2 linked regions of the Lytechinus pictus genome follow. The protein of the gene in region 1 interacts with the protein of each later gene in a pairwise test. Links are inferred from orthologs where the notes say so. Each region holds a gene or a part of one and is shown on either strand. Other genes may lie near its edges.

Evidence for each region. The genes of interacting proteins can lie anywhere in the genome.
Region 2: the proteins of vacuolar protein sorting-associated protein 45-like (region 1) and rabenosyn-5-like interact in a two-hybrid assay, tested with the Drosophila melanogaster proteins (2 studies listed by BioGRID). The link is inferred for Lytechinus pictus from reciprocal best matches to the Drosophila melanogaster genes Vps45 and Rbsn-5.

The regions. Positions count from the first base shown.
Region 1 is NC_087249.1:3,318,674-3,329,049, reverse strand, and holds the start of vacuolar protein sorting-associated protein 45-like, read right to left. Parts: upstream 6,040-10,376; 5' UTR 5,915-6,039; coding exon 5,822-5,914; intron 1,775-5,821; coding exon 1,640-1,774; intron 218-1,639; coding exon 157-217; intron 1-156.
Region 2 is NC_087247.1:72,181,327-72,191,702, reverse strand, and holds the start of rabenosyn-5-like, read left to right. Parts: upstream 1-3,938; 5' UTR 3,939-3,950; coding exon 3,951-4,059; intron 4,060-4,553; coding exon 4,554-4,745; intron 4,746-10,376.

The DNA of each region.
Region 1 (10,376 bases):
TTTCATATTATAACAGTGTGGCATCTGGCATGGTTTAATTTTGCTGTTAATACATGTACCAGCATTTGTTTTCTTTAATTGTTCGCATTTTTGCTTTCATTAAATACATAATACTTGAACTTGTCATTAACACTTCTAAAAAACGACTGTACTTACAGATGAAGTACACAGCATACTTTGGATTTCTCAACTCATTGCACAGCATTTCAATATTCTCCTGGATTGAAATTCAAAGATGTAATAGGAAATAAACATTCAAAATACCATTTGATTTATCGCTGATAAATGGAACTGAGTATTAAAATTAATAACAAATTTTATATTTATGATTAAAAACTATAAAATACATTATAAAATGGGATCTAAATACTAGTAACTCTAATTTATTTTGAAAGGACACAAGACATCCCTTCCAGAATAATACAGCTTTGTTTGATAACGATGTCTCTATCATTATCTGTGCATATTAGATAATAAATTGAGAGAGTTTCAGTATAATTTAATGTATAGAATACAACCATCGCCTAGATACAGATTCAAACTTCAGGTCAATGATTTGTGTTAATATTGCAATATTTTAGACGAAACATATCAACATGTATTTTTTTCAATGTGCTGATAAATTAAACTTACCCTTTTTAAAGGAAATATTTTGGAAACAAATTCTTATTGGAATAAATGGGACTAACATGAAAACAGAATTATGAAACCATATTATAATTTTGATTAAATTTATGATCTTCCATGATAGCGAAAAGGGGGTACCTGCAAATGTAAATAAAATTAAAGATAGATTAATTGAAATTAAATAGAAAAGAAGAGAAAAGGCTTGCACTGGAAAGGGGAACTTTGTCATTTCACCTCAGGAAATGGGAACATTTTGAAGAATCAACCTCACAGCCCTCTACCCCAGCAATACTCCCTAGATGAGGTCCATTTGTTTGTTTTTGTTGTTTTGCCAGTTTGCTTGTTTTTTTTTCTTTCTCGCTCTCCTTTTCCTTCTTCTTATGCTTTGTTTATCGGGGAAGGGGGTGTTTAATGGATGAAGCGTGATGGAGAGTGTGTTTTCTTTTGTGTGTGTGTTTTTTATCATAACTTCCTCAATTACTTGATTTAATTGTATTGTAAAGGGAAAAAAATCAAGTTCAACTTGAGATTTAAGTATGTTTATAAATATTCAGAGATCTCTAGATGTTGTAGAAGATTTTATTTTGTATTACGAATTCCTTTGTGATTATAAATATGTACAGATTGATTCTTAGTTTACTTTTCGAATAATTTTTTTTTTTTATGAATTCTGATGCAATTATGTTAATTATTTTGCGTTATTCATTATATTCCTATTTTATATATACTGAGGAAGAAATAATATAAGATTTTAAAACAAAAATTGGAATAAAACTAATAATACAAGACAAGTTATTCATCCAACATTTAATACTATTTGTCAATAATATACTTTCATTTTTTTCTACAGTAATATAATGTACCCCCTCAAATCTTTCTGCTACATACATGTATGGGGAAAGGTGTATTTTACTAGCCCATATGTACACATAGAAACCATAACTCATTAAAAAAAAGAATTGTTTTATTAGGCAGCATCTTCCACAAATTGGTGTACTTATTTTGTTCTTACCCTCTTTGGTCTAATGAAGCATATGCAGCGTAGATGTTTCATGATCTCCCTGTTCGCAGAGTCTAATCTTTCAAAAAGATAGACTTCTTTCTGTAGGATTTCAGACTGAGCATACACCATGGTTACAAAGCTGATCTACATTTGAAATAAAATGAGAGAAAAAAGTGAAAAGCTAGTCAAGGAATTATTCATGACATCTTACTCCTGATGGAATCTGTTATCCCATGTTATTGTTGTGCACTGATGATCATTGTTTTGATCAATTTGTTTAACAACACTTTTTTTATAATATTTTAGAAAAAAATAGCTAGTATAGGCACTCCTACAAAAAAAAAATCAGCATTTCTACTAAAAAAGCCTTACCTTAAAATATTCTTTATTGTCTTGTTTGCATAGCAGAGCAAGACTATAGTCGGCGACGGCATCAACATTGAAATCTTAACCAAGGTTAAGTTTTTGAAATGACAGCAAAACTTAAAAAGTATAAGGACCTAGTTCATGAAACTTGGACATAAGAGCAACCATGTATCCCTGAATATCATGTGCGAGTTTCAGGTCACATGACCAAGGTCAAAGGTCATTTAGAGTCAACAAACTTTGGTAACGTTGGGGGTATTTGTGGAATTGTCATCATACATGTATGTAACTTTAAAAGTTTATGGATCTAGTTCATGAAACTTGGACATAAGAGCAGTAATGTATCCCTGAATACCCTCTGTGCATTTAAAGGCGACCGCACACCTTACGATTGGTCAGCGACCCGATTTCAGAATAAAATGTAGTAGAATTTGATGCTAACATTGAGACTTGAAATACCTTACTGCAGTGGTGGACTGTGACCCCGAGGAGACAAAGCATTGGAGGGGCACAGCATTATTCACAAACACTACAGTTCCCCTCCAATGGTTTGTCTCCTCCGGGTCACGGTCCGCCACTGCCTTACTGTGTAATGTTCTAAATCATTGTACGAATACCTATGTTCAAATCTGTGACTATGCTAGTATCCTTCTTAGAATAAAAGCGAATTTAATATCTAGTCGTAATGACGTCATAGCAGTCGTACGATTGGCTACGATTTAAAACTATTTTGGCCTTTACTCCGAAATAAAGGCTTGCAATCTTTCAAAATGGTTATATTAGTATTTTTTCAATCAATTTTAACCTCAAATAAAATGGTATGTTCCATTCACATTTTCAGAAAATGAGCAAAATGCGATTTGTTCCAAAATCGGATCGCGAACAGTCGTAAGGTGTGCCGTGGCCTTAAGGAGCATGGCCAAGATCAAAAGTCATATAAAGGTCAATGAACTCCGTGTTGGGAGTACATGTACATGTATGTGTTGAATTGGCACCATAACTTAGAAAGTTTTTTTATGGATCTAGCTTATGAAACATCAACATAAGGGTAATCAAGTATGAATGATCGTTTTGCACATGTTTTAGGTCACATGATCATGGTCAAAGGTCATTTTGGGTCAATGGACAAAATATTTTATTATCATATTAGTGTTTTCTTCTGTAAATAATTATTCATTAGCTGTTTTCAAAGGCAGCACTGCTGATATATCGAATTGCGTAATGCAGGCAAGACTGCCAGAGGTGTTCCACTTGTTAGCATTTGTAGACATTGCTCAAAACTTACCTGGAAATTTCGTAAATAGTAAAAAAATAAGGCTTAAATACTCCATAAAATGTGCTGGAAATGCATGTACATGCACTGTACACTCATTACTGTGGCTAAAAATAGGCACTTCCAATGGCAAGCCTATATGTATGTTTATGCTGCCCTGGGACTGTGTTCTAATCCCAGAGGACCTGTGGAAACACACATTGATAGACAATCATCTCGGCTAACAGAAAATGTGAAGATGCCAATAAATCAAACTTGACCATCCACTAAAAATATACACATGCATATGGGGCCAACTCACGCATTGACTACAGGGGTATATGTGCACATGTGTGACAACACCATCTAGCACCCATGTGAGTACCTACCTTGCTGGAATTTTCAAATTTCTGCTTTCTTTTGAATGAATATGACTAACAGAGCAACAAAACTACAACTTACAAAACAAATTCCAATTAACATTAAATCCAATCATGGCAATAGAACCATTATAGAATCTAGATGGAAAATTCCTATAGACAGATGTAATATTTGTTGAATAGGATTTAGAAAATGCAAGCAAGGTCTTCTTTTTGCTCCAACTTGGAAAATGAAAGATGGATAACGAGAACGAACGAGACATGGAGGTCTAACTTTTCCTTTTATTGAGGGTCCAGTATGTGCCCACTCACACAAGCATGCGAGGTTTTAGACAGGAATAACCGTCGTTTCTGGGGATTTATTCAACAATTTCTGACATTTTACTGTAATCCCCATTTACCGACGGTAGGGTGTACGTGTGGGCTCGCATGTGTTCTCATTCCCTCCCTTTTGTCAATTCACAGTCCAAAGTTTGATGTAATTTTACACATCGAATTTACAATCTAAGGATGTATAAACAACAAACTTTTAAAACTTGATGTTTTAACATTTAAATACTTTAAACGATATAGATGAAAAAGGCATGAAAAATATACTTTACCGATGTTTAATTGGGTTGAACACGATAAAAATGGTCAAAATGGCAGCCAAACTATAAAATATTTACAAACGAACGTCAACAATCACGAATGTGATATCGATATTGCTTTCGATATTATACGATCTGCTCCATATGCGAACGAAACCGAAGATAAACGATACTAGTTATACTAGTACTAGTACTAGTTATAATCGCGATATATCGATTCGAGACATTAAGTTAATACGATAATGACGTCATTTAAGATGGCAACTTGCAAGAAAAACCGTCAGGTCAGGTGAAAATGTCTTAGATGACAGATTTCTCAATCATCCAGAGGATTTTTTTCAATAACTCCGGCCCAAGGTATGCAATTGCTTAATTTATTTATATTTCCCTGATAATGGAAACCATGAAACTTTCAATTTTGCTTAAAAAACAGTTTTAAATCGCGATCTATAAAACGCTAGTTCACTATACGTTGGCTGTAGGTACGGGGCCCCATCCCCTTCAGTCTATGTATGGTGAGTGGAGCCAACGTAGTTCAGCGGAACAAACAAAATACAGAGACTGAAGCTTTTGGTCTAGCGAGGTTTGTGCCTCGATGTGTCACAATAGACCTTCATCCATAAAATCGAGGTAATTGATTTTTTCCCCTTTTATTTGGAGTGCAATTGCGACCCCATTCTACCCCATTTTGGAGAGTACCCATGTCTGCCTAGTAATACACAGACGAGTCCTGGGCTCCTTGGGTTAATACTTTATGTGCAGTTTTGCATTGGGCTTTCTGGAGTAGTGGGGGAAGGGTATTTTTAAATCAAATCTGACACTTGATCCTAAAAGAAAGGTGAAAAATGAGTATTTCCATTGAATTTGCCATTATCAATACCACGAAACCCGCTAGTTTACAAAAATATGGTACATTTATTCACAAAAATACAAGACTTTGATTGAACTTCCTTTTTTAATGCCACATTAAAATGATGGTAGTAACCAAGTGTAAAATAGATTTGGAGCATTTTATTCTCTTTAATTTGATACCAAAATAATTAAATTTGGATAACGGGATCATATGTCAGAATTGCATTGATTTGAACTTTGATTTTTCCCTCAAAACCATGACCATTAATTTTGGCTGTGTGAATTTTTTTGTGCAGTCACCCTATTAAAAAAATATTATCATGAACCTTTTCCAGGTTTTTATTTTCAATTTTATTTAGTGGGGGTGCATATGGAGCTCTGACATTATCCTGGTTTAAGTCACCACTCCATTCACTGCCATTTATTTCGTCAGCAGCGGGGACTTCTTTCCTCTCCCATTGACTTTGTACACAACGAGTGTCGAGTGCACACACTCCGACTCTCCGAGTCCGACACACACGAGAAGAGAGGTGATTTATTTCAGGATAAGGCCGGAACTCTTGCCAAAAATCAACAAAAGTGAGTGGTTACAAATGGTTGTCTTGCTTATGGGTGTACAACAATTTTTTTTCTAATTTATAATGTTTAACAAATCGAAAAATACATTTCAACATCTTACTAACTCACCCAACACAATAGTGCGCGTGTGGGACAACGCATTCAATATCAGCATAAATTTGAAGAATCTTACCGTTTCTTTGTCCATAAGGAGTACCTTCATGCCAGGACCACTTTCCTCTATCATTTTCGCAACATACTGCTTCACAGCCAATACGACATTCATCGTCAAACATCTGTATTTTACTCTATGAAGGGGGAAAAAGATACGAGATCAACGTAAAAAAAACAACAAAGTCAACATACGTTGAACTTGGGCCTTTGCTGTATAATTTGCTAGTGTCGTATGTCGCCCTCTACGTTGAGAACTTTATAATGACTTTCCAAATAAATGTAAAATGCATTTTAAATTTCCTGAATGGGATAGGCTTACTCAACATGCAAAAGAACATGATTCGAGATATACACAATATAGTGTATTATTTGGGGTATTATTGCAGAGAATAGAGTCAAATCAATCCGAACAGGGGCGCATCAGGGGTAGGTGGCCGGGGGGGGGGGGGAATTGGCAGTGGAAGCATAACAATTTAGGGGGGACGGAAAAAATATTTTCACCTACATTTTCCCAGTCGGCTGCTAAAAGCTGATTTTGTTTATATTTTTTGTTAACGGGGTAGTCCACACTATAGTCTGAAGTTTTAACTACATCTTAGTTTCTTATAAACAAGATGAGATATCTAACACGGCAGGCGCAATACAGGATTTTGCACCCCGTGGGCCCTACCTGATTTTGGCGCCCGGGTTGGCGCCCTTGTGTACTTTTCGAAAAATGGGGCCCCCTTGAACATGAATATTGAACAAGATGGGTATCTAATTCTAAACAAACATTTTATGCGAGTTGAAAAAATTGTTATTCTGACCTAAAATTTGACACTCTAAGCACTTTGGTTCATCAAGCAGGAAGGGTATTTAACTAGACATTTTATGCGAACGCGTAGAGCGAGCTGAAATTTTTTGTTATTCCAATTAACACAAGACTGCACAATCTAATGACCATGAGTAGGATGGGTAGACCTATTTAAACAACTGATGCGAGCGCGAAGCGCGAGCAGAAAATTTTTGATATTCTGACCTAGAATCTAGACGTTGTAAGCACTTTTGGTATTCATGAACATCTTACTAAACTTATGCGAGCGCGTAGCGCGAGCTGAAAAATTCCAAGCCAAAACTGGACATTCTAAGCACTTTTGTGACCATCAACAAGATGGCTATCTGTTTAAACATTTCATGCGAGCGCAAAGCACGAGATGAAAATTTTTGATATGCCGAACCAAACCTTAAGATTCTAAAGCATCTAAACAATTGATGTGAGTGCGAAGCGAAAGCTGAAATTTTGGGTATTTGGACATTCTAAGCGCTTTTGATAATAATGAACAGAATGGCTATCTAACTAAACATTTTATGCGAGCGCGAAGCGCGAGCTGAAATTTTTTGATATTTTGACCTAACATTTTGACATTCTAAGCACTTTGGGTAATCATGAACAGAACTACTACCTAACTAAACATTTTATGCGAGAGCGAAGCGCGAGCTTAAAATTTTAGATAGTCCGACCAAAACCTTAAGATTCCATGACGAAAAACCTCCATTTGATAACACTATACCCCTATTTCCCTCCGCATCAATTCTCTTCTCCAAGCTACAACAAACCCTTACTGCCCCAAGCAGTATCAAAACACCTGTGTCTTGACCTCGGTCCGAAGATAACAACAGCCCGGCATATACAGTCACAGTAGGGGGCCACACAAAATGGATATATGGCAGTGCATAGAGCATAATAGCTCTATGCATAGAGCTCTATGGGCAATGTGTGAGCGCGGTAGCATCCCTGCAAACCATGTCGTCATTTTATCCCCCTACTTTCCTAATTTCGAGGTCGATTTTCTTCGTTCGAAATTGAAAATGGGCTAACATTGGATTTCTGAATACAATATGCCTTTGAAAACGTGATTAAATATCGAATACAATAATTTCATTCCGAAGGTCCTACTACAGGCAGAGAAGTCTTACGTAATAGCACAGCTGTTGTTTATCATTTCGTCCTTGGCTCAACGCTCATAATCTGGCCTGTGGAGGAGAAATTGAGACAGCGGGATTACCTGGCCAATCAGGGTTGATCGGCGCTTGGACATGATTTTTTCAAATTCCAAACAGAAAAAGGGGTATAGAACCGCAGTTTGCAATCTGAACTGCGGTCTTTCTCCAAACGGGGGTTTGACGTAATGTAAAGCACTTTTTGTGAACAGAAATAGAATTGGTATCTATCTAAACTATTGATGCGAGCGCGAAGAGCGACCAAAAAAAATGATATTCTGGCCTAAAAGCTCGGATTCTAAGCCACTTTTTGAAACAATGAACAGGATGGTCATTTAAGCCCCTTTCACAATTGACGTACGACCACTTGCGACCTTTTGGTCGTGCGACAGGCTGCAACAGGCATCAATCGCCAGTCATCTCATAATATCGCACAGAGGCTTTCACAGTTGCAACAGCTGTCGTACAACAAAAACAACCAGTAAAACCCGTTGCACGAGTAAGTCGCTTATGATCCTATTGTGCTCGTGCGATCACATGCGAGTGTAATTGCACGAGGGATTGCGAGGGGAACGGTCGTACACAACGGTAGTGCAATGTTGTAAGCCGTTGCGATCGGTCTTGCAACAGTCTTATGGCCCATCATATTATCGCACCCAGTCGCAAGACAGGTCTCTGTACATGTAGGTCGCTAGCACATGTGCAAGTGTTGTACGACCTCCAGTCGAGTAAATGCGACTACTTAGTTGTGCCACCTGTCGCACCAAGTCGTGCAACGTTGAACAACACTCCCACGATGATCGCCCGACCGATGGTACGACCCCGGATACGAGCTGATGCGAGTGAATCGGTCGTATTTGATCGCGTTCGGATTTTGAACATGTTCAAAGTTCAGATGTGACCAGTCACGACCACCTTGAGTTCGTGCGACCGTCTACAACGACTGCGAGTGCTCGCAAGTCACAAAGAGATCGATCGTGCAACAGCAGGAAAAAACTGTTGCAGGCGGTCGTAAACTGGTCGGATGTCAATTGTGAAAGGGGCTGTACGGTCGCATACATGCGAATGCAACGGTAGTGGAATGTTGTAAGCCGTAATTTCGATCGGTCTTGCAACAGTCTTATATTATCGCAACCAGTCGCAAGACTGGTCTCTGTAGGTATCTAGCGCATGTGCAAGTGTTGTACGACCTCCAGTCGACTAAATGCGACTATACGTAGTTGTGTCACCTCTCGCACCAAGTCGTACAACGTTGAACAACACTCACACGATGATCGCCCGACCGATGGTACGACCTGATGCGAGTAAATCAATCGTATTTGATCGCGTTTGGATTTTGAACATGTTCAAATTCAAATGCGACCAGTCACGACCACCTCCGACCACCTCAAATTCGTGCGTTCGTCTACAACCACTGCGAGTGCTCGCAAGACACCAAGAGATCGATCGTGCAACAACAAGAAAAAACTGTTGCAGGCGGTCGTAAACAGGTCGTACGTCAATTGTGAAAGGGGCTTAAACTAAACAAGCGATGCGATCGAGGAGCGAGATGAAAATAAGTGATATACTGACTTGAAACGGTAACTTTTGAATTACTGCATTATTGCATTGTGAAGGGTAATGAATAAATCCCGTTCGCCCTTGGAAGCAGGGGTGTATAGAGTCACATCAAAGATGTTTTTTAATTGAGTTCTAATTATAAAGGAGAGATTTTACCTAAATCTCCTTCATTTTGGTGCGAAAAAAACTTTTTTTGGGGTTATCAAGTTTTTCTAAACAAAATCGCATGGGAGTAAGTTTAAAATTTGTGTATTTTCCATAGTAAAACTGCAACTTTTTACTGTTCGATATAGGTTTTGATATTTCTTGTTTTAGCTGTTCAGTTTATTTGTTATCTTTTTTATTCCTTCCTTTCTTCTTCCTTTTTATCTTCCTTTCTTTTTTTCTTCCTTCCTTCCTTTCTTTTTTTCTTCCTTCCTTCCTTTCTTTTTTTTTCTCTCTCTTTCTTATTTTTGGGGGACTGTCCCCTCCTCCTGAAATTTAGGGGGGACGTACCCCCCCTGTCTCCCCCGCTTCCGCCGCCTATGGGGCGGCAAGAGCCAAAAAATCCCGGTCATAATGGTATGAACAGGCAGAGGTGCAATGAGGCAACATTTTGTAGGGCCGGGTCAGATATGGCTATCGGGCAAGATCTTTTTTAAATAAAGTTGCGAGCGACTGCATTATGAGCAAATATTTTGACATTTTTATTACAGAAATAAAATTTCGTGATAGATTTTGACATAATATTAAAAAAATAAAATCATATTTCAACCTCCCCTCTTTACTTTCCTTTCCTTTCTTTTGTTTTTGATCTATGCGCCACTGTGAACAAGATTCTTTCTTATGATTGTGCGCGAAGTTTTATATATTTGCAGCAGTAGCGCGAAGACTTTAAAAAATGAATAAAAGAGGGGCACAGTATGGCATATGAACTAAAAAGCTGCTTGATATTAGTCCCGAGGGGGCGAAGCGAGCGAGAAAAAAATACCTTTTAGAGAGACTTTGAGATCTTTTTTATTACATTGTATTCATTAAATAAATATTAAATAATC
Region 2 (10,376 bases), on another chromosome or scaffold:
TAACATTTTGAAGTTTAGTTTAATTTAAAATAATAGTTATATATGCACATCCAGGTCGGTATGCAAATGAGGAAACTGATGACGCCACCCACTCACTATTTCTGTAGTATTATATGAAATATTAAATATGATATTTTCCAATTTTCTCCTCATTGTCAAGTGAAACAATGATTAATTCCTCCCTGAACATGTGGAATATATGGTTCATTCACGTTGGCCCTTATTGTAAGATCTGTGAAAAATGAAATATTGTATACAGTAATTCAACAAAAAAAAAAGAAATTGCGAGGGACATCATCAACTGTATCATTTGCATGCAAATGAGTTGTGCATATCACTGTTTTGTGAAAAATAAGCGAAACTTTAAAATATCACAACTTTCTTATTTTACATCCGATTTTGATGAAATTTCCAGCGTTATGCTAGTTTGATTTTTCTCTATTCAAATCAACATTTTTCTTTGACCTTTAAATAAAATATTAATTCATTTTATGTAACAAAAATAAGGTTATAACACCCTTCAACTACGACTAATTCAAAAAAGGTAAACGATTATTTTTAAATTTAGATTATATATCGTTACTTTCTTCAAATTGTTAAAGTCATTCATGCCTGAATGATCGAGGAATCTTCTGAGGATACCAGGTGAAAGATTAGATATTCTGAGCTTTACAATGATTGCCGTCATCATTTTGTATAGCCACAAGAACTTACAGAATGAATAAAAATAAATGAAATGTACGAGCCTGTATCAACATAAGACCTAGGCCTACGCACGCCTCTCAAATAACCCCCAAAAATATAATAAATAAATATATAGATAATAAGTAAATAAGTAAATAAATGAACTTCCATACATAAAAAGAATTAAAAACGAATGATACCTCTGACTCTCTATATCACAAAAGAAAAAAAATAATAAATAAATTAAATGATTAATGAATGAATATAAATACATTACTTAATCAATTAAAATAGATTGATAAATAAATGAATGAACTTCCACACATAAAAATAATTAAAAACGAATGATACCTCTGACTCTACATCACAAAAGACAAAAAACTGAAAACAAATAAATTAAATGATTAATGAATGAATATGATTAATCAATATAAATACATTAATTAATCAATTAAAATAGATTGAAATAAGTGAACTTCCACACATAGAAATAATTAAAAATGAATGATACCTCTTAATTACTCTCTATATCACAAAAGAAAAAAAAAACTGACAACAAATAAATTAAATGATTTATTAATCAATTAAAATAGATTGAAATAAATGATAACTCTGACTCTCTATATCACAAAAGAAAAAAAACTGAAACAAATAAATCAAATTATGAATAAAATACATTAATTAATCAATAGCCCCACACATGTGCGAATGCTGGGAAAAGCGCATTGGACGGGGCCGGTTTCGCGACTATCTTAGGATGCAAGCTTAATAATATACTTGTGATATAGGCCCCGCTACTGTGTTGGAGTGTCTGAAGTGCCGTAGTGCAGGGCCTATATAACGGTTATAGTATTATACTCGTGAAACAGGCCCCGCGAACGGACATTCTAAGCCATTCAACACAGCAGCGGGGCCTATATCACGAGTATATATAGTGAGCTGAAGTTAGCAACCTAGATATTGAGGTATGATCGATTACAATTTTTTTCTCGAGCGGGGCCTATATCACGAGTATGCCCTAGAATTTAGTAGATTTTTAAAATATAAGTCTAGGCCCTAATGTTAGCATTTTTAGGGCAGGCCGCATTTAGACTTATATAGTCATTGTTAGTACTTTTTTTAGTAGATCTACATGATAGCCTTGACGTCTGTTTCGAGCACTCATTCAATGAACAAGGTTATGATATAACCTTGTTCTCTGTTTGTATCTCCATGTGTGGTAAAATAAGGGTGGCAATGTTTGGCTTATTTTCTCTTTTTGTTTGGGACAAATGCTTGATTTTTTTACACTGACAGTTTTTATTACACCTATTCATCATACAAATTGGCTCTTAAGTAAATTTGATTCTTTAAATTGTTTTTTTCTTAATTTAGAATAGAGATTGAAAAATGAAAATTTTCTTGCCATATTACTTTCCACCAATAGAGGGCGTACACAAAAATATGCCCAAAATTCATGTTTTTGAGTGCTCTGGTGAATACAAAAATTATTCCCAAGTTACTAATGAAAAAGAAATTGCAACTGTAAGGAAATTAGTAATTTTGGTCACAAAAGTGATATTTTAATGATTTTTTTAAGTGTGTGCTCTGTACAGCATTGGCATACCATAGTCCTACATGTACATTCCCCACAGGCAGGATGGTTGCAGTGAGCTTGTGGTTTCGAGGAGTTTTTGAACATTAAAAAAAAAAAATCTCCCCGTACACAGACGGCCCGCGATCGTGCAGCCACCATTAGGGGGTTAACAATGCAAAATCCCCCCGACGGGGCTCGTCGATATTTGTCTTTATTTCATAAAAATATAGATCTATATAAACAACTGGACCAAAATAAAGATAATTATTCCATTTTGGCCGAAAATGCACCAAAATGGGAAAAAAAATTAAAAGGTAAAAAACAGTGACTTAGATTTACTTTGGCTGTCGCGCAACTCCCACTTCCTTGTTTTATCCGAACTTAATAACATATGGCCATTGAGTCCCTGTACAGATCGAGTTAGAACTTTGGTCTCTGTAATTGGTGGATGGAGCCAACGGAGTTCAGCAGAACAACCAATAAAACAGAGACCGAAGCTTTTGGTATTATCTAGGCCTAGATCCTATTCTACTAGATTAACCCCCGGGGGAGGGGGGGGGGGCAGTCAAATAGACTAGATCTATATTGCTGTACACATGTGTGACAAAAAAAAGTGTTTAAAGGGGTGTTTTTCAGGTTTGGACACGGGCCGCACGTGCACTCGTTAAGTATAATAAACACTGATTTTCAAGAAAGGGTGGTTTTGAAAGACTGGTCAATTGTCAATGTAGGGTAGAAAAAATTTTCTTCCAAAGCTTTTTTTAAAGCTAGCCAAGCGTGTTTAGGGTATTTTTTTCCCCAAGCTTTTTCCGCGGGGTCATATTCTGGCGACAAATTGTTTAAGTGCCAAAGTGTGTAAATAAAGCCCGCAAAAAACTTGTTTAGGGGGGTTATTTTGCACACAGAGAAAAACTTGTTTAGGTCCGTGTTTAGGGAAATAATTTTGGTCATGCATGTGTACAGCAATACATTTGACTGGCCCCCCTGGGGATTAACCTTGTTTGTTAGTCAAATTGTTGTGTAAAAAAGAAAGAAGAAAAAAAATACAAATGTACATCTAGGGCCAGGCCCTAGATCTAGATGATAGATCTAGGCCTATAACTTAGATGAAGCCAATAGAGCAAACCACCAACATTACGAGTCCTATGGGAGCCTTCTGTTTGTGTAGGAGGAGAACTGAGAACAATCAGAAAATGTTTTTAAAAATCTCCTCTGTGAAAGAGCAGATTTCTCAGTCTAATCTTTGCCAAGCCTAGACCCTGCATGGTTACTTCCTCAAAGAAATATTGATTTTGAATAATTTTCCTTGATAAAAGCCAAGATGATGGCATCACTATTGGCAATTTTTTCTTGCAATGTCAAAAAAAACCATTTTGGTCTAAGCAGCAAGCACTTGGAGTACAAGGCATGTATATTGTTTGTTTATGAAGGTCTGTAAAGGAGTACTATACTAACATAGATTTTTGGGTGTCGCCAGCTCATTGTTGTTCTTTTTCTTCATAGCCCCCGATTTTAGTTATTCTTTTTGACAGGGATAGGGAAAGCTCAAGCCTACAGGTTCAGGGTCTACTGCATTTTACATATCTATCCAGTACTTTTTCTTTTAAAGTTGAAGTAAATGCACAATGATATATGCATCTTGCTTAAAGTAACCAAGACTTGTGTTCTTTATTCTTGCTTTACAGTTAAGATGGCAGGCATGGCAGCAACTGATGATAGCCCAATTTATGAGGGATTCCTGTGTCCAATGTGCCTTCAAAACTTTGATTCTGTTTATCAACTCCAATCTCATGTGGAAAGTATGTTTGATGAAAATAATTTCACCTTTGAATAATATAATTCAAAGACTTCATGAAAGCCATCTTGGACCTCAAGGTTACAAATGAAGGAAAACAAAGAAGAAAGAAAGAACATACCAGTTTTACATACAGTTGTAGTAATATAAATTACGTGTATATTTTAATTTGCATATTTTTCAAACTGTCATTGAGAGTTGCAGTTGAAAGAAAAATGTAGTTGTTTCTGATAGACTGTTAATTGTCCTGTAAATCTGAAGTATTTTACAAATAATTTTGAATATTCATGAAGACAAAAGAAAATACATCATAAAATATCTTGATCAATACATTGATATTCTATTTTCCAAGACCATCCATTACTATAATTTACCAAATAATCTTTTGAGGGAAAAAATCCCTTCTTTTGACTTGTCTAATTATTCATAAACTTATTTGGAGATTATTTTGTATTTTGAACTATCATGATTAATTATTTTGATTTTTTTTGTGTGTAGCTGCTCATGGTAGTGAAGATAAGGTTGTACTAAGTAAGTTGAAAGGATTCTTTGGGAAAGCTAAGAATCTCATCACCAGCAGATCAGAGGAACAGTTCAGTGATGTCTCCAGAAATGAGCAAGGAGAAGGATCTCCCAAGAAATTACAACTGCTTGGCTCAGACCCTTTTACTTGGGATAATCCAGAGCTAGGTATTTGTTTTTTCATTATTACACAGTTGGATACAGTCAGACTGCAGGTCCCAAGAAAGTGGCTTCTTTCATCCAAGTGATATTCATGACTTGAGATGTTTTGCATATTTAATGAGCTTGATGCGGACCAAAACACCTCTTTTCATTCGGTCATTGCTGCTCTAATTGTGCATCAAATTTCATGAATTTGGTACCATTGTAAAGAAGAAGAATCATTCTTTCAGGTCATGTGTTTGGATTTATTCAAAGATTTTGTAATATAGGTTAAAATTTTGATCTAAAATATGCTACAAAAAAAAATTTTCACCTGACAAAAGCTGCTATTTTCACACTTTATTTTTGTTTGAGACAAAATGATTTTTATATCATGATAAAGCTGAATATGTATGCTTTGAAATGATATAGGTTTCAAAATAAGAACTGGTTTAATTGGGTCAAGATCACACTTTTCATTTGCCAAGTACATAAAGCAGCTTGAAAACAAGAATACTGCACTCTGATTGGTCAAAGAGACCACACAATGGCAAATTCCAACGGTTCCAGTGCCTGGGTTTGTGGGAAGGTCACACTTCCCATGTGGTAATCTCCTCAAATACCCCGCGCCTGTTGTTCTGTAACCTTATCCAGCCAATCAGAACTATGGATTTCATGCAAGTACAAAATTTCAGAAATCTCGTCTTGTACCTTGGTGGTACAATCCAAGTCTGCGGTCAGCCATCACCATCCGTGCCCAGATCTCTTGTCAAGTCTATCTGACCCCCGGAGGGGCCACTTCCATTGACGAGTGGATACCATGCGCGACCACGGGGTCTCGAAAAGCACCCTTAACACGTATTTTCCATATTCTGAAAATGCACCCCTTAACAAGTTTTGGCGTTTGAAACCCTACCCTTAACAAGTATTGGAAACAAATACTATTGGCAAGTATTCCCAGAATTGAGCCCCTAAACAAGTACAGCGATGTATTTTCCATATTCTGAAAATGCACCCCTTAACAAGTATTGGAAACAAATACTATTGGCAAGTATTCCCTGAAATGAACCCCTAAACAAGTACAGCGATATTTTATTGTTATGTCACGGGTCCGTCGGTCGTCGGTTTTACCTTTACACACCATTATTTTGGTTTATTACGGCCCCACCTTCCACACCTCGCGCAAATCGGACTCTAAACACGTAGTGTTGGGGCAAAAAGGACATCCTTTATAAAACATTTTGATTTTGTTTTATCATCCCCGCATATTTGACCCTAAACACGTATATTTTTCCGACCGAAATAGATACCCTTTTTTCAATATTTTTATGTTTTTGACACCCTTATCACGTTACGTACGTAACGTGCCCCATCTTGAAAAAGACATCCTTTTTACGTGTTTTTTTGGTCGCGCATGGTATCCACTCGTCAATGTAAGTGGCCCCCCCGGGATCTGACCCAAGTCCGGCTCGCCAAGATTGGCAAAGCACCTGATGATTGCTGTCGTCTGTGCATGTCAGCCTGCGAGGATGTGGAACATCTGGTTGCTACCTGTCCAGCCCTAGCACCTGTCCGACAGAACCTTATCCAGCGGGTTAAAGCTAATCCCAACACCAAGCAGTTTGGACCATGCTTTGAATCTACCCCTGCTCTTTTTGTAGAGTCGGTCCTTTTTTACCTCCTGGGCGTATTAGCTGCAACCCAAAGCCCAATTACATACGCTTATTCTGTACTTCTTACGCAACCTCCACACAACTCGTCAAAACTTACTCAGTACTTCATGATTGCAACTTAGAGTCTTAAATGAATTGCGGCCCTTCCAACGGCGCCGTTGATCTCCGACCTTAGCGGAGGAAGAACACAAGAGAGGTGGGAAAAGTGTGATCTTGACCCGATTAAAAGGTGCCGCATATCAAGAGTGGCATTGTGAGAAAGTACAGATGTTCAGCTTTATGGTGATATAGATATCATTGAGGCTCAAAATAAAAAGTTTTGCACAATTTGCAAAAGAAAACAGAGGAAGAAAATTCAGTTTTTAGGCACATTTTCAGGCCAGAAATTTACTTATTTAACAAAATATTGTATACAAAGTAAATGACCAATATGAAAGAGTAACGTTTACTCTATCTGATCGTGTAATAATATTTCATTTAATTTGAGGTTAAAACAGGTAAATTCTTAGAGAAAGAAAATCTCACGAATCACAAGATTTTGCAAGGAGGAGGATTCAGCCACGAGATGATTTGGATGAATCTGGCCTTTTTGCTCATTAGCCTAGGGACCTGTGGTCTGACTGGATATAATTCTTACAATAGCTTGAACTGCAGCATTGACCATCACCCCAAATATCATCTACTTTGACTTTATCCACATCATCAACATCACTCTCCCCTATCCCATTCAGAGATACCATTGGATCATTATCAATATCATCCCTATCAAGCTTCATCATCATCATCAACACCAGTGCACTATCATCATCATCACCACCACCATCATTATCATCATCATTATCATCACTATCGATCATTATCATCATCATCATCATCTTCGTCGTTATCACCAATTCACCATCATCATCATCATTATCATCATCATCACCACCACCACCATCATTATCATCATCATCACCACCACCATCATTATCATCATCATCACTATCAATCATCATCATTATCATCGTCGTTATCACCACCATCATCATCATTATCATCATCATCATCATCACCACCACCATCATTATCATCACCACCACCATCATTATCATCATCATCACTATCAATCATTATCATCATCATCATCGTCGTTATCACCATCATCATCATCATCATCATCACCATCATCATCATCACCACCACCACCACCATCGTTATCATCATCATCACCACCACCATCATCATAATCATCACCACCACCATCATTATCATCAACATCACTATCAATCATCGTCGTTATCACCATCATCATCGTCATCATTATCATCATCATCATCATCACCACCACCATCATTATCATCATCATCACTATCAATCATTATCATCATCATCATCGTCGTTATCACCATCATCATTATCATCATCATCATCACCACCATCACCACCATCACTATCATCATCATCACCACCACCATCATTTTCATCATCATCACTATCAATCATCATCATTGTTATCACCATCATCATAATCATCACCACCTCCATCATTATCATCATCATCACTATCAATTATCATCATCATCATCATCGTCGTTATCACCACCATCATCATCATCATTATCATCATCATCATCATCAACACCACCATCATTATCATCATCATCATCATCATCGTCGTTATCACAATCATCATCATCATCATCATCACCACCACCACCACCATCACTATCAATCATCATTATCAATCATCATCATTGTCATCATTATCACCATCATCATCACTATTAATCATCATCGTTATCACCATCATCATCATCATCATCATCATCATCGTCGTTATCACCACCATCATCATCATCATTATCATCATCATCATCATCATCACCACCACCATCATTATCATCATCATCACCATCATTATCATCATCATCACTATCAATCATTATCATCATCATCATCATCATCATCGTCGTTATCACCATCATTATCATCATTATCATCATCATGATCACCACCACCATCACTATCATCATTATCACCACCACCACCACCATCATTTTCATCATCATCACTATCAATCATTATCATCATCATCATCGTTATCATCATCATCACCACTATCAATCATCATTATCAATCATCATCATTGTCATCATTATCACCATCATCATCACTATTAATCATCATCGTTATCACCATCATCATCATCATCATCATCACTATCAATCATCATCACCATCATCATCATCACCACCACCACCACCATCGTTATCATCATCATCACTATCAATCATTATCACCATCATCATTATCACCACCACCACCACCATCATTTTCATCATCATCACTATCAATCATTATCATCATCATCATCGTTATCACCATCATCATCATCACCACTATCAATCATCATTATCAATCATCATCATTGTCATCATTATCATCATCATTATCATCACTATCGATCATTATCATCATCATCTTCGTCGTTATCACCAATTCACCATCATCATCATCATCATCATCATCACCACCACCACCATCATTATCATCATCATCACCACCACCATCATTATCATCATCATCACTATCAATCATCATCATCATCATCGTCGTTATCACCACCATCATCATCATTATCATCATCATCATCATCACCACCACCATCATTATCATCACCACCACCATCATTATCATCATCATCACTATCAATCATTATCATCATCATCATCGTCGTTATCACCATCATCATCATCATCATCATCACCATCATCATCATCACCACCACCACCACCATCGTTATCATCATCATCACCACCACCATCATCATAATCATCACCACCACCATCATTATCATCATCATCACTATCAATCATCATCATCATCATCGTCGTTATCACCACCATCATCATCATCATTATCATCATCATCATCATCATCATCACCACCATCATCATTATCATCATCATCACTATCAATCATTATCATCATCATCATCGTCGTTATCACCATCATCATTATCATCATCATCATCACCACCATCACCACCATCACTATCATCATCATCACCACCACCATCATTTTCATCATCATCACTATCAATCATCATCATTGTTATCACCATCATCATAATCATCACCACCTCCATCATTATCATCATCATCACTATCAATTATCATCATCATCATCATCGTCGTTATCACCACCATCATCATCATCATTATCATCATCATCATCATCACCACCACCATCATTATCATCATCATCATCATCATCGTCGTTATCACCATCATCATCATCATCATCATCACCACCACCATCACTATCAATCATCATTATCAATCATCATCATTGTCATCATTATCACCATCATCATCACTATTAATCATCATCGTTATCACCATCATCATCATCATCATCATCATCATCATCACCACCACCATCATTATCATCATCATCACCATCATTATCATCATCATCACTATCAATCATTATCATCATCATCATCATCATCATCGTCGTTATCACCATCATTATCATCATTATCATCATCATGATCACCACCACCATCACTATCATCATTATCACCACCACCACCACCATCATTTTCATCATCATCACTATCAATCATTATCATCATCATCATCGTTATCATCATCATCACCACTATCAATCATCATTATCAATCATCATCATTGTCATCATTATCACCATCATCATCACTATTAATCATCATCGTTATCACCATCATCATCATCATCATCATCACTATCAATCATCATCACCATCATCATCATCACCACCACCACCACCATCGTTATCATCATCATCACTATCAATCATTATCACCATCATCATTATCACCACCACCACCACCATCATTTTCATCATCATCACTATCAATCATTATCATCATCATCATCGTTATCACCATCATCATCATCACCACTATCAATCATCATTATCAATCATCATCATTGTCATCATTATCACCATCATCATC